Arabidopsis thaliana: one gene and its partners. The protein of the gene in region 1 interacts with the protein of each later gene in a biochemical or structural test. Each region holds a gene or a part of one and is shown in the gene's direction. Other genes may lie near its edges. The genes, in order: ATG8F, NBR1 and APG7.

What was found.
Region 2: the proteins of ATG8F (region 1) and NBR1 form a complex in vitro, tested with the Arabidopsis thaliana proteins (one study listed by BioGRID).
Region 3: the proteins of ATG8F (region 1) and APG7 form a complex in vitro, tested with the Arabidopsis thaliana proteins (one study listed by BioGRID).

The regions. Positions count from the first base shown.
Region 1 is NC_003075.7:9,306,939-9,310,693, reverse strand, and holds the start of ATG8F (Ubiquitin-like superfamily protein), read left to right. Parts: upstream 1-2,155; 5' UTR 2,156-2,348; exon of another isoform or gene 2,349-2,569; 5' UTR 2,570-2,580; coding exon 2,581-2,617; intron 2,618-2,711; coding exon 2,712-2,767; exon of another isoform or gene 2,768-3,204; coding exon of another isoform or gene 3,205-3,297; coding exon 3,298-3,350; intron 3,351-3,441; coding exon 3,442-3,560; intron 3,561-3,711; coding exon 3,712-3,755. UniProt on the Arabidopsis thaliana protein: Ubiquitin-like modifier involved in autophagosomes formation. May mediate the delivery of the autophagosomes to the vacuole via the microtubule cytoskeleton.
Region 2 is NC_003075.7:12,739,368-12,743,122, forward strand, and holds the start of NBR1 (ubiquitin-associated (UBA)/TS-N domain-containing protein / octicosapeptide/Phox/Bemp1 (PB1) domain-containing protein), read left to right. Parts: upstream 1-1,664; 5' UTR 1,665-1,823; coding exon 1,824-1,856; intron 1,857-2,214; coding exon 2,215-3,104; intron 3,105-3,193; coding exon 3,194-3,317; intron 3,318-3,420; coding exon 3,421-3,678; intron 3,679-3,755. Other genes in the region: MOS1 (modifier of snc1), read left to right, coding at 1-370. UniProt on the Arabidopsis thaliana protein: Autophagic substrate degraded in the vacuole by non-selective autophagy. Requires ATG8 protein expression to be recognized as an autophagic substrate. Acts probably as a receptor for autophagosomal degradation of ubiquitinated proteins.
Region 3 is NC_003076.8:18,613,569-18,617,323, forward strand, and holds the start of APG7 (ThiF family protein), read left to right. Parts: upstream 1-1,606; 5' UTR 1,607-1,735; coding exon 1,736-1,874; intron 1,875-2,154; coding exon 2,155-2,366; intron 2,367-2,450; coding exon 2,451-2,697; intron 2,698-2,787; coding exon 2,788-2,882; intron 2,883-2,961; coding exon 2,962-3,254; intron 3,255-3,337; coding exon 3,338-3,482; intron 3,483-3,568; coding exon 3,569-3,755. Other genes in the region: SAG12 (senescence-associated gene 12), read left to right, coding at 1-185, 458-718, 866-1,191.

The DNA.
Region 1 (3,755 bases):
CTTTGACCATTTGTAAATTGTTGGTTGCATGTTTATACTGAATTAAACATTTGCTTCGAATATTTTAGACCAATAAAAATGGTAGAAATATTTTGATCGGTTGACATTTTTGACCGAGAATAGTGGTCGAAAACATCTTACCAAAAAGTGGTCAAAACTTAATGACCAAAATAATGGTGAATATTATTTTTTACCAATTTTCGACCATATATTTCAATCTGACTAACTTATATACAAGATTGGAATATAAGTATAAATCAAAATTCAATTTAATTCTTAAATATTTGATTCATAATAACTTAATAAAAATAAAAATATAATTTAAAATACACAAAAAAACAATACTTTTATACAAGAAATCAATTTTAAAATTATTTGATTAACAAATTTTAAAAATATTTGAGTTTTTGTTTTCCTTAACAAAGTTACCATGTGACTAATATATCTCTCCAATCTTAAGAGTTGGAGTTTGAAACTCTTCTTAACAGAAAAACTCTTTCATGAATGCGGTAAATCTGGAGCTACATGTATAGGTATGTGGAATGCATTTATATCAACCTTAGGCACAAATAGTGAATGCTTCAAAGCAATCCAAGTCTTTGAGAACATTCCTTCCACCTTGATCAAAACTCACTCAACATTTTGGAACGTGATGGTAACTTGTACACATGCTCGACAAACTGAGTATGGGCATTATCTTCTTGCAAGGATAGTCAAGACTCTATGGATAGAACCAACTATTGAAATAATGGGGACATATTTAGACGGCTTGGCTAGAGGAAAAGTGATTGATGAGGCATAACGAGTTGTCAAGACTTTGATTTTCAAGCCTAACTAGGAGATTGCTGTGAGTCTTTTATCAAAGTACAAAAGCCATTCAACACCCATTGAGTTTGCTAAACGTTTTGTGAGGTACCTTGAAGAGAAGAAAGTCACCTTCTACATTGCTGGAACGACTTATAAGGTACTAGACGAAGATGGGGTGGAGTGGAAATCTAATGTCAAGATTAAGAAACAGAAGAAAGGAAAATCCACAATCCACTCCCATTAGAGCAGTTCAAAGTACTATATATTGCTGCACAGCTAAATCATTCGTCAAAGGCATTTCTTAACCATGCTATTTGACCTGAGGTTACGAGAGTAAGGATATAATTGTATTGATTGTTTTGAAACAGTGAAATAAACATGAAAAAGTGCAGTGAAATAAACATGAAAAAGTGCATACTCCCACATATGTGCCCCATATGCTCTAACAAACTTGATAAGTGTCATACGTAGTGAGATACCCTTATATTTTTTTTAGCTTTTTATATACTATTGCTTACAAACCTTATTAATATAGTTAAATAATTAGGGTGGGCATCGGTTTGGATTAAGTAATGATTTTGGATAATGATTAAAAAATAATTTTGATTTTTTTTTCAACTTCAGAAAACTCAATCTTAACTTTTAAAAATGTTTATGTCTTTTCACAACTATAATATTTTATATCTATAAGTAAAAAACTTGTTAGAAAACTTATCTTACTTTGATAAAAGATTCATTTTGATTAATTATCTTTGTTATCCTGTAAATTCTCGGTTTTGACATTAATCACTCAATTCCGGTATTTTAATAAATTACAAAATGAGTTTTGTGCAGTGTTGAAGATATATTCTCAAATACAGTAATTGCTTTCAACCCTTGATTTCGAAATGCCTAAGCTTGAAATCCTAAGCTGTCCATACACCAAGACCTACATCTCCAGATCTCTATAACAGTCATAAAAAAACTTCTGCCTATACTTTATTTATTAGTTTTCATATTTCCATCCGTTTATTTGCAAGGCCCATTACTGCACTAGGCCCTACATTTTGTTAGAAGAGGCAAAGCTTATAAGCGACATTCTCAATTTCCAACTATTACCCTTCCGAACTCTTCACCTAACACACATTTTCTAGGGGTAAACGTGTCATATCGTATGCAGAAACGTGATCCCAGCATATCCGGTTCTTCTTTATCCTTTGTTGGAGGCAATATCTACGTAGACAGTTACCTCGTACACCTTCAGTAAAATGGACGGTTGAGATTCCTATTTCAGTAAATAGCTAATATCTACCGTCAGATTCTCACTGAACAGATTAAGCATACAACGTCAGCTGAAGTGTTTAGATGTTACCATACACCATCTGTAGAGAATCTCTGACCTTATCGCATAATTTTTTAATGTTTTGCAGAATTTTTGTAGGTTGCTTATTTGCTTTTTCTTTCATATTTTTTCGTTAATTGTTGTTGTTATCTTCAACGATAGCGTTGTGCTCTGGAGAAGTGTTTGATCGCAGAAAAGCTTCGTTCTTTGTAGTCTACAGGTTTGATCACTGAGTTCTTAACTTCTTTTTTGGTTTGATTGCGATCCTGTACTTTCGTTTAGATTACTTAAAGGTTGGGTCTTTAACATGATCGACTGATAGATTTGTGGGAATTTTGATAATCTGAGTTCCAGAGTTTGGGAATTGATGATTTGATTTGAGTGTTAAATTTGTTTTGATGGTTGTCTGATTGGTGTCACCTATTTGTTATGTGTGTGTAGGCGTGGAAGGAATGGCAAAAAGCTCGTTCAAGCAAGAGCATGACTTAGGTTTGGATTTGAGCTTTGTTCTTGCTTTACTGTTTGGTCCTCGAAATCAAAACCTTGTGCTTTGATCTAATGATCCTGTTTCCTAAATCTTCAGAGAAGAGAAGGGCAGAGGCTGCTAGGATTAGAGAGAAGTATCCTGATAGGATTCCGGTGAGACTTTCAGTGTCTCTCTTATACATTGATCGATCATACATTTCTAAAGTTATATGTGATTAGCATATTGTTTCCCTTTCTATGTTCGGATCAATCTTTTGTGTTTGACTGAGTTTATGCAGGTTAAGTTGTTGTGGTTTATGGCCCAGCAATATGGTAGTAATGAACTTATTGGGATATAATGAACTTATTGGGATAGCATCTGGTTTTAAATGGACACCCTACCCGACTAAAGGATGGTTATCAAGTTATTATTGTTTGATTAGCTTCATGCTTGTGATATATGTTTGCCACTGTTTCAACTACATGGAGTTGATTGAGTTATAGTGACTATAACAACATTAGGACTTTGAATTTAGTTGTCATTTTTTGGAACGTGACTTTCTGAAACTCGATTCTTACTGAGTACTTACGGCTTAGATAAGTAGATTTGCATGATTCATGTGGCTACGTGCTTTATGATTCACATGGTAAAAATGACACTTGAGATGATGATTTCCACGCATTTATATTTTTGTGGGATCCAGGTGATTGTTGAGAAGGCTGAGAAGAGTGATATACCAACCATCGACAAGAAAAAGTAAGCATATAAATGGCATCAGTATCCTTTTCATTCGGACCTGACTTGTTAATAATAGTGATTGATAACTAAGCTTTTTTCAAATTTGCAGGTACCTAGTCCCGGCTGATCTGACTGTGGGGCAGTTTGTGTATGTCATTCGCAAAAGAATCAAATTGAGTGCAGAAAAGGCTATCTTCATATTCGTGGACAATGTTCTTCCTCCAGCAGGTAAACAGATAGATCTCCTCTGTATTCAAGACTCAGGAGTTTCATTATCTTTTAACACAAGTAACAAGAGCATAAGAAGGCGTCTACTTATATGTTCCCCGGTGATTATAAATTCTTTATATTTGGCTGATCTGATCTGGTAACTTTGCAGGTGCGCTCATGTCTTCTGTGTACGAAGAGAAAAAGGATGATGAT
Region 2 (3,755 bases), 3.4 Mb from region 1:
GGTCCAGGTTGAGCAAAATCCGAATAGTATGTTCCAAAAGAACACAGGGCAGGGTCGACGGTTTGGAAGAGGGCAGGAGTCACAAGGAGGTTGGGGTTTACCGGCGCAAGAGAATATGCACCATCACCATCAGAGGCCACCTTCAAACAGAGATAGACAGAAGCAAAATCTGCATTATGAATACAAACCTGTTGGGTCTCATACTTATGATGGAGAACGTAGTCGAGAACAATCGAAAGAGAGTTCTCAGACAGAAGGTCCAAGATACAGAGAGAAGGGACAGGGGCAGCAAAGGCAGGGTGGATACCAACAGCAAAGGGGTACTAGTGGGAGAAACGGTGGTCATGGATTCACTGGTGATAGAAACTAAGATTGGCCTCTTATTGTTATTTAGGTAGTAAGAGCTGCCATGCTGAGGATACTTGCATTTTGAGATATGGCGATTGAGGAAGCTAATTCGTAGGCACATAGCTTGGGAGATTGCTGAGAGGAGACCTATCCGAGGAGGTATTGGCAGATTAAAAAAAAAAAGTCTTTGTCTTGAGAGTTTATTATTATATGTTTCAGTCACTTGTTTGAATATGATTATAACTACTGTAGTAGCCTTTTGTATACACTAGATGAATACTCATGAGTATTTTTGTTTTTAAAGTTGCTTAAAAAAATATGATTATGTTTTTTGGTTGATTTTGATGTTCATTTTGATAAATTCCTATCTATTTAATATAATTTTTTTATTTTATGATTAGATTTATCTATAACTCGAAATATCAATTCTAGTATAATATATATATTTATATCTATTATTCTAATATTTTATTGTCATGATCACATATAAAAACAATATATGATATATTGATACAATGTATGCGTTTTGAAACTTGTCTAAATTAATTGTACAAACAATTATTTATTCCATATATTCTCTTGTCATCAACTACACAATCACATCATGATATGCTAGTAATTCAAGTCACACTTTAATTCTTTTCACTTGCATATAGCCATATAGAATCTCATATTTTTTTTTTTGTATGTCGAATGTCGAATGTCTCAAATGACTATTATATTATAAAATTGTATATCAATGTTACTAAGTTATTAGAACGCACCAAAATGTACAGAAAAAGTTCATATGATAAATTATATTCACAAAACGTAATAATAAGAAAATATCTAATTAAATTTACTAAATTTATATGAGGTTAGGTAGCAAACATAAGAGTTTTAAGAGTTTGGATTTTGGAATTGGTGGTGTTTGTTTCTCAAACTTCATAAATTAGAGTTTAAAATGTTTTTTTATTTTTTGTGGTCGGCATAAGAGTTGAAGTTTTAATAAAATAAAATAGTATCTGATCATTTTATTGGAGAAAACATAAAAGATGTAGTATTTTATAAGAACTCGAATTGGTCAATTTTCAAAATGTTAGTATGAAAAATAAAATATCTAGTTATATGTACTCGTATCTCTTGATATTTTTGGCTTTAACTTAGGGATGTTAGTTTGATTTGTCTTTCTGGATAAGCCAGTAGTAACCAAAAAAGTCAAAATCTTGTTGGCTAAGTCAGAAATTAATTAAATAAACAAAAGGGCCCATTAAATTAATTATTTTAATAAATATTCTGTGTAATGATATATAGTATAAAACGCGACCGTCTAAATTCTTGGTTGTTTACGAGAAAAGCGGATTACGGGTACGCTTCTTCTAAGATAAATCTCTCCCCGATTCTCTCTTTTTCTCGCTAGATACTCTTTTTCTTCAATTAGGGTTTCTTCTCGCTTGCCTTTTAATTCTCTCCAGCTGATCTGATCTCCGTTACCGATGGAGTCTACTGCTAACGCACTCGTCGTCAAGGTTAGAGATACAACCTTCCTTTCTTTATTTGCGAATCGTCAGTTTTCTCACAGTAATTGTCGGTGATTCTGGGTTTTCGTGGCGATCGTCTCGTTTCTGTTGATTTTGTTGCTTGTAATCGGTCCTTTCCTTTTGAATTTCGCTATGGATCGACTCTCTCTCTCTCTGTCTCTGTATTATAATCTTAAGTGTAATTCGAAAATTTTCCAGACATACTTAGCAGTATCTGCTTGAATCTTATACCCGAACAATGATTAAAACTATAAGTTATCGTAATTAGAATCGTAATCTATTTCTTCGACAATTTTTTTTCATTTTTTTCATTGAAGTGATACTAATTTTGTTTGTGATTATGTAGGTGAGCTATGGAGGTGTGCTTAGGCGTTTCAGGGTGCCTGTTAAAGCTAATGGACAGCTTGATCTTGAAATGGCTGGTCTTAAGGAAAAGATCGCTGCTCTCTTTAACCTCTCTGCGGATGCTGAATTGAGTCTGACTTACTCTGATGAGGATGGGGATGTGGTTGCCCTTGTTGATGACAACGATCTCTTTGATGTTACTAATCAGCGTCTTAAGTTCTTAAAGATCAATGTGAACGCTGGCGTGTCCACTAACTCTGCTGCTCCAGAGAGTAGTGGGAGTTCCACACCTGCGGGTATGCCTAACCCGGTTTCCAAAATCCAGAAGGGTATAAATGATGTTCTGATGGCTGTACCTAACCCGATGCGTGATACCATATCAAAGGTGTACATGGACCTTGCATCCAAGGCCTCAACTTCTAGTCCTGTAGTTGGTGAGATGCTTGATTGCATTTCCAAGCTAGGGCAGCTCTCAATTCCTCAGGAAAGTAGTCCTTGCTCACCTGTTACCAAGCCTGGTTCTTCAGGTGCTTCCCTGAGCAGGGATGTTCCTTCCGCTGGTGGAAAGAAGGATATCTCTGAGAGGACCCAGACCGGAAGGAAACCTGTTAATCTGAATGAACCCACTGGCGCTCATTCAAAGACTTCTGGTCATGTACCAAACTCGTCTGGACTGGGTGCTAATTTCAACGAGTGTCCCTTTAGTGGCAGTACCATGAATTACTCCTGTCCAAATCCAGTTAACCTCAACAAGCATCCTCGTCGTGTTTGTCATTCCAAAAAGAGCACCAATGGTGATTACTGGACTTCATTGGGTGTATTCCATAAGGGCATCCGTTGTGACGGATGTGGAGTTCTTCCAATTACTGGGCCTAGATTTAAGTCGAAAGTGTAAGGATGCCTTCTACTTACTACTTTAGAAACTATAAACATGCTAGAACTTATTGTGCTTATATGTTTCGCTTGTGAATATTGTGCAGTAAAGAAGACTATGATCTGTGCACCATCTGCTATTCGGTGATGGGTAACGAGGGGGATTACACAAGAATGGATAAGCCTGTATCCGTTCAACATCTGCATCCTTTTAGAGGACCGTTTACCCAAGTATTGCTCTTCTTCTAAGTTTATAATTACTTTTCTTCTTGTTTATTCTATGTGTCTTCTCTGATAGCTATGAGGAATTCTTACCCTTTTTTTTTTGGTATAGTTTCCTAATCCTTGGTTGAGCCACCCTGTGCCACGAGCAACCAATGGAGGTGCACCTCTCAGGTGTACTCGCCCTAAACTAGACAGTCGGTTTGTCCTTGATGTGAATGTAATTGATGGAACCGTTGTTGCTCCATCCGCCCCATTTACTAAGATTTGGAAAATGAGGAACAGTGGTTCGCTGGTGTGGCCACAGGGCACACAGATTGTCTGGATCGGTGGGGACAGGTTCTGCAACTCCTTGTCAGTTGATTTACAGGTTAGAAACAATTTCCTTAGTTTTCACTCTTTTAGCTCGATTCTTACCACTAACAGAGCAATTATGTTGTTTGAATT
Region 3 (3,755 bases), on another chromosome or scaffold:
TTTAACCAATGACGAATTTCGTTCCATGTACACTGGTTTCAAAGGTGTCTCGGCATTATCTAGCCAAAGCCAAACTAAAATGTCGCCGTTTAGGTACCAAAACGTTTCTTCTGGTGCTTTGCCGGTTTCTGTTGACTGGAGGAAGAAAGGAGCTGTGACCCCTATCAAGAATCAAGGCAGCTGCGGTATAACTCAAATCTTTATTCATATATATATAAGTGAAATCAAATTGAACCAACCGAAATTTATGTATTCAATCAATTTGAGTTAATTCATAGTGAACAAACCGATCCAAACCAAATCCATAGTGTAACTGACCGAATCGAATAACCATATTTTTATTAAATTTTTCTATGTTAAGTTATATATATTTTGTTTCATACCGTTTTATTGAGATATGTAGTTAGACACATGAAAATATTTATGATAGTGACACTAATGAGTGATGTTTTTGTAGGATGTTGTTGGGCGTTTTCAGCGGTTGCGGCTATTGAAGGAGCAACACAAATAAAGAAAGGGAAACTTATATCTTTGTCAGAACAACAGCTTGTTGATTGCGACACAAACGATTTTGGCTGCGAAGGCGGTTTAATGGATACTGCGTTTGAGCATATAAAAGCGACTGGCGGCTTGACAACTGAGTCAAATTATCCTTACAAAGGCGAAGACGCTACTTGCAATTCCAAAAAGACCAATCCAAAAGCAACTTCTATTACAGGTTCACTTTAGTTAAAGAGCTGGCATATAATAATTAAACAGATTAAACCGATTTTTAATCATATTATCCAAATTAATAAACATTACTATACTAGATAAAATTCATATTTTGAATCTTAAAAAGCTCATGTACGTTCACATATCATAGGTTATGAGGATGTCCCGGTTAATGATGAGCAAGCACTGATGAAGGCAGTGGCACACCAACCGGTTAGCGTTGGAATTGAAGGAGGTGGTTTTGATTTCCAATTCTATTCGTCTGGTGTGTTCACTGGAGAGTGCACTACGTATCTTGATCATGCAGTAACTGCGATTGGATACGGCGAATCTACTAACGGATCAAAGTATTGGATCATCAAGAATTCATGGGGAACAAAATGGGGAGAAAGTGGATATATGAGGATTCAAAAAGATGTCAAGGATAAACAAGGACTATGTGGTCTTGCCATGAAAGCTTCTTACCCAACTATATGAATTCAAAACCGTGTTAAGCTTTTAATTGTGTATGTTTGTGTGGGATTGATGTCTAAAAATAATTTGAATTGTTTTATGTAAAAAAATTGTATTTAGACTGTTGTATGCATTTTATGAAATTGTAAGCTTATGTAATGCAAAGGATTGATAATTTTCGAAATGTTTCTTTCAAATTTCAACGGTATTAGCTAGGGATAATTTGAAGCATATGCACAATCAAATTCCACCAAGTAAAAATGAAAATTTGTTAAAAAAATGAAGTTTGAAAACTCTTAACCATTTACTGAGAAGACTGTAATAAACCGAATTTGGTTCAGTTTGATTTTTATGGAAAAAGACGAACCGTCCGGTTAATGCTTTTTACTTTTTTAAAATAAACCGGTTTTGGTTTGCTTGGATATAAAGCCGACCCGACCCGGATTGACCATGTTCCTTGCACGACTCCTTTTTCTCACCGTTCTCCGTCATCGTCTTCTTCTTTCTCACATTCATTGACTCTCCTCCATAATAAACATTGCAATCTCTCAGAAAGATAAGATCAGCCATGGCTGAGAAAGAAACTCCAGCAATCATACTTCAATTCGCTCCATTGAACAGTTCCGTCGACGAAGGTTTCTGGCATAGCTTCTCCTCTTTGAAACTCGACAAACTCGGAATCGATGATTCTCCGATTTCAATCACCGGTAAACACACAATCATCGAATTAAAAAATCATCCAATGCATCGATTTTTATATATTATTCGATGAGTCTATGCATTCGAGCTCTTATGATCCGTTTAGGTTAGAGAAGCAAAAAAAAAAGTTGAAAACTTGAAAATCCTCTGTTTTCTGGGCAAGTTGTTATGATCCGTTTAGGTTAGAGAAGCAAAAAAAAAGTTGAGAACTTTAAAAGCCTCTGTTTTGTTTAGTAGAGATTATTCAGATTTAGAATTTATGTGCTTTTTTGGAACTGAAATTTTCAGGTTTCTATGGACCATGTGGACATCCACAAGTCTCAAATCATTTGACTCTTTTATCAGAGTCATTGCCTTTAGATGAACAATCATTGATTGCTAGTACTAGTCATGGAAATAGGAATAAGTGTCCTGTTCCTGGGATTTTGTATAACACCAATACCGTTGAAAGCTTCAATAAACTTGACAAACAAAGTCTGCTAAAAGCAGAAGCAAATAAGGTAAATACAAAACTTAGCTCCGTGACTTGGTTTTTACTGGTTCTTGTCTGCAGAAGTTTTAACAATTTTGTTGGTGAATTTTAGATTTGGGAGGATATTCAATCAGGAAAAGCTCTTGAAGACCCTTCTGTGTTACCAAGATTCCTCGTTATCTCCTTTGCAGACCTTAAGAAATGGAGTTTTCGGTATTGGTTTGCGTTCCCTGCGTTTGTACTTGATCCTCCTGTAAGTTTGATTGAATTAAAGCCAGCTTCAGAGTATTTTAGTTCTGAAGAGGCTGAATCAGTATCCGCTGCTTGTAATGATTGGCGCGACTCAGATTTAACTACTGGTACTCAACATTCTTGTTCTATTTTTTACTATTAAAATTCAAGGAGTGGTAGCTGAAAACCTTTTGTTACTTCTCCGTGTTTTGCTGTAGATGTTCCATTCTTTTTGGTTTCGGTTTCTTCTGATTCAAAAGCTAGTATCAGACATCTTAAAGACTTGGAAGCGTGCCAAGGTGATCATCAAAAGGTATGTGTTAACTAACTCTTCCATATGCGTTAGATACAGAAAAAACAAAATTCACCTTTATGTGTCTCTCTTCCTGCAGTTGCTTTTCGGTTTCTATGACCCGTGTCACCTTCCTAGTAATCCTGGCTGGCCACTTCGAAACTACTTGGCACTGATTCGCTCAAGATGGAACCTCGAGACAGTTTGGTTCTTCTGCTACAGAGAGAGTCGTGGTTTCGCTGACTTGAACCTTTCTCTTGTTGGTCAAGCCTCAATTACACTTTCATCAGGTGAATCAGCTGAGACTGTACCTAACTCAGTGGGATGGGAGCTTAACAAAGGGAAACGTGTACCCCGATCCATTAGCCTTGCTAATTCCATGGATCCAACAAGGTACATTTTTGCTCTGTGTCAATGATCTACTCAACTAAATGGGTAAAATCTGATTAGACAAACGGAATCACGTTCTTTCGCAGGTTGGCTGTTTCTGCTGTCGATTTAAACTTAAAGTTAATGAGATGGCGAGCATTACCGTCTCTTAACTTAAATGTATTGTCCTCTGTCAAATGCCTTCTTCTTGGAGCTGGTACATTGGGTTGCCAAGTTGCTCGTACCCTTATGGTACGTATTGAAGAAAATGCGAGATTTGACATTATTTTACAAACTCACTGATTAACTAAGAACTCGTTTATCTTTTATTTTCTTAGGGTTGGGGAATCCGCAATATCACCTTTGTTGACTATGGAAAAGTTGCCATGTCTAATCCAGTCAGGCAATCTCTCTATAATTTTGAAGATTGTCTAGGTCGTGGTGAGTTTAAAGCTGTTGCTGCTGTTAAAAGCCTTAAACAGATATTTCCAGCAATGGAAACTAGTGGAGTTGTTATGGCTATAC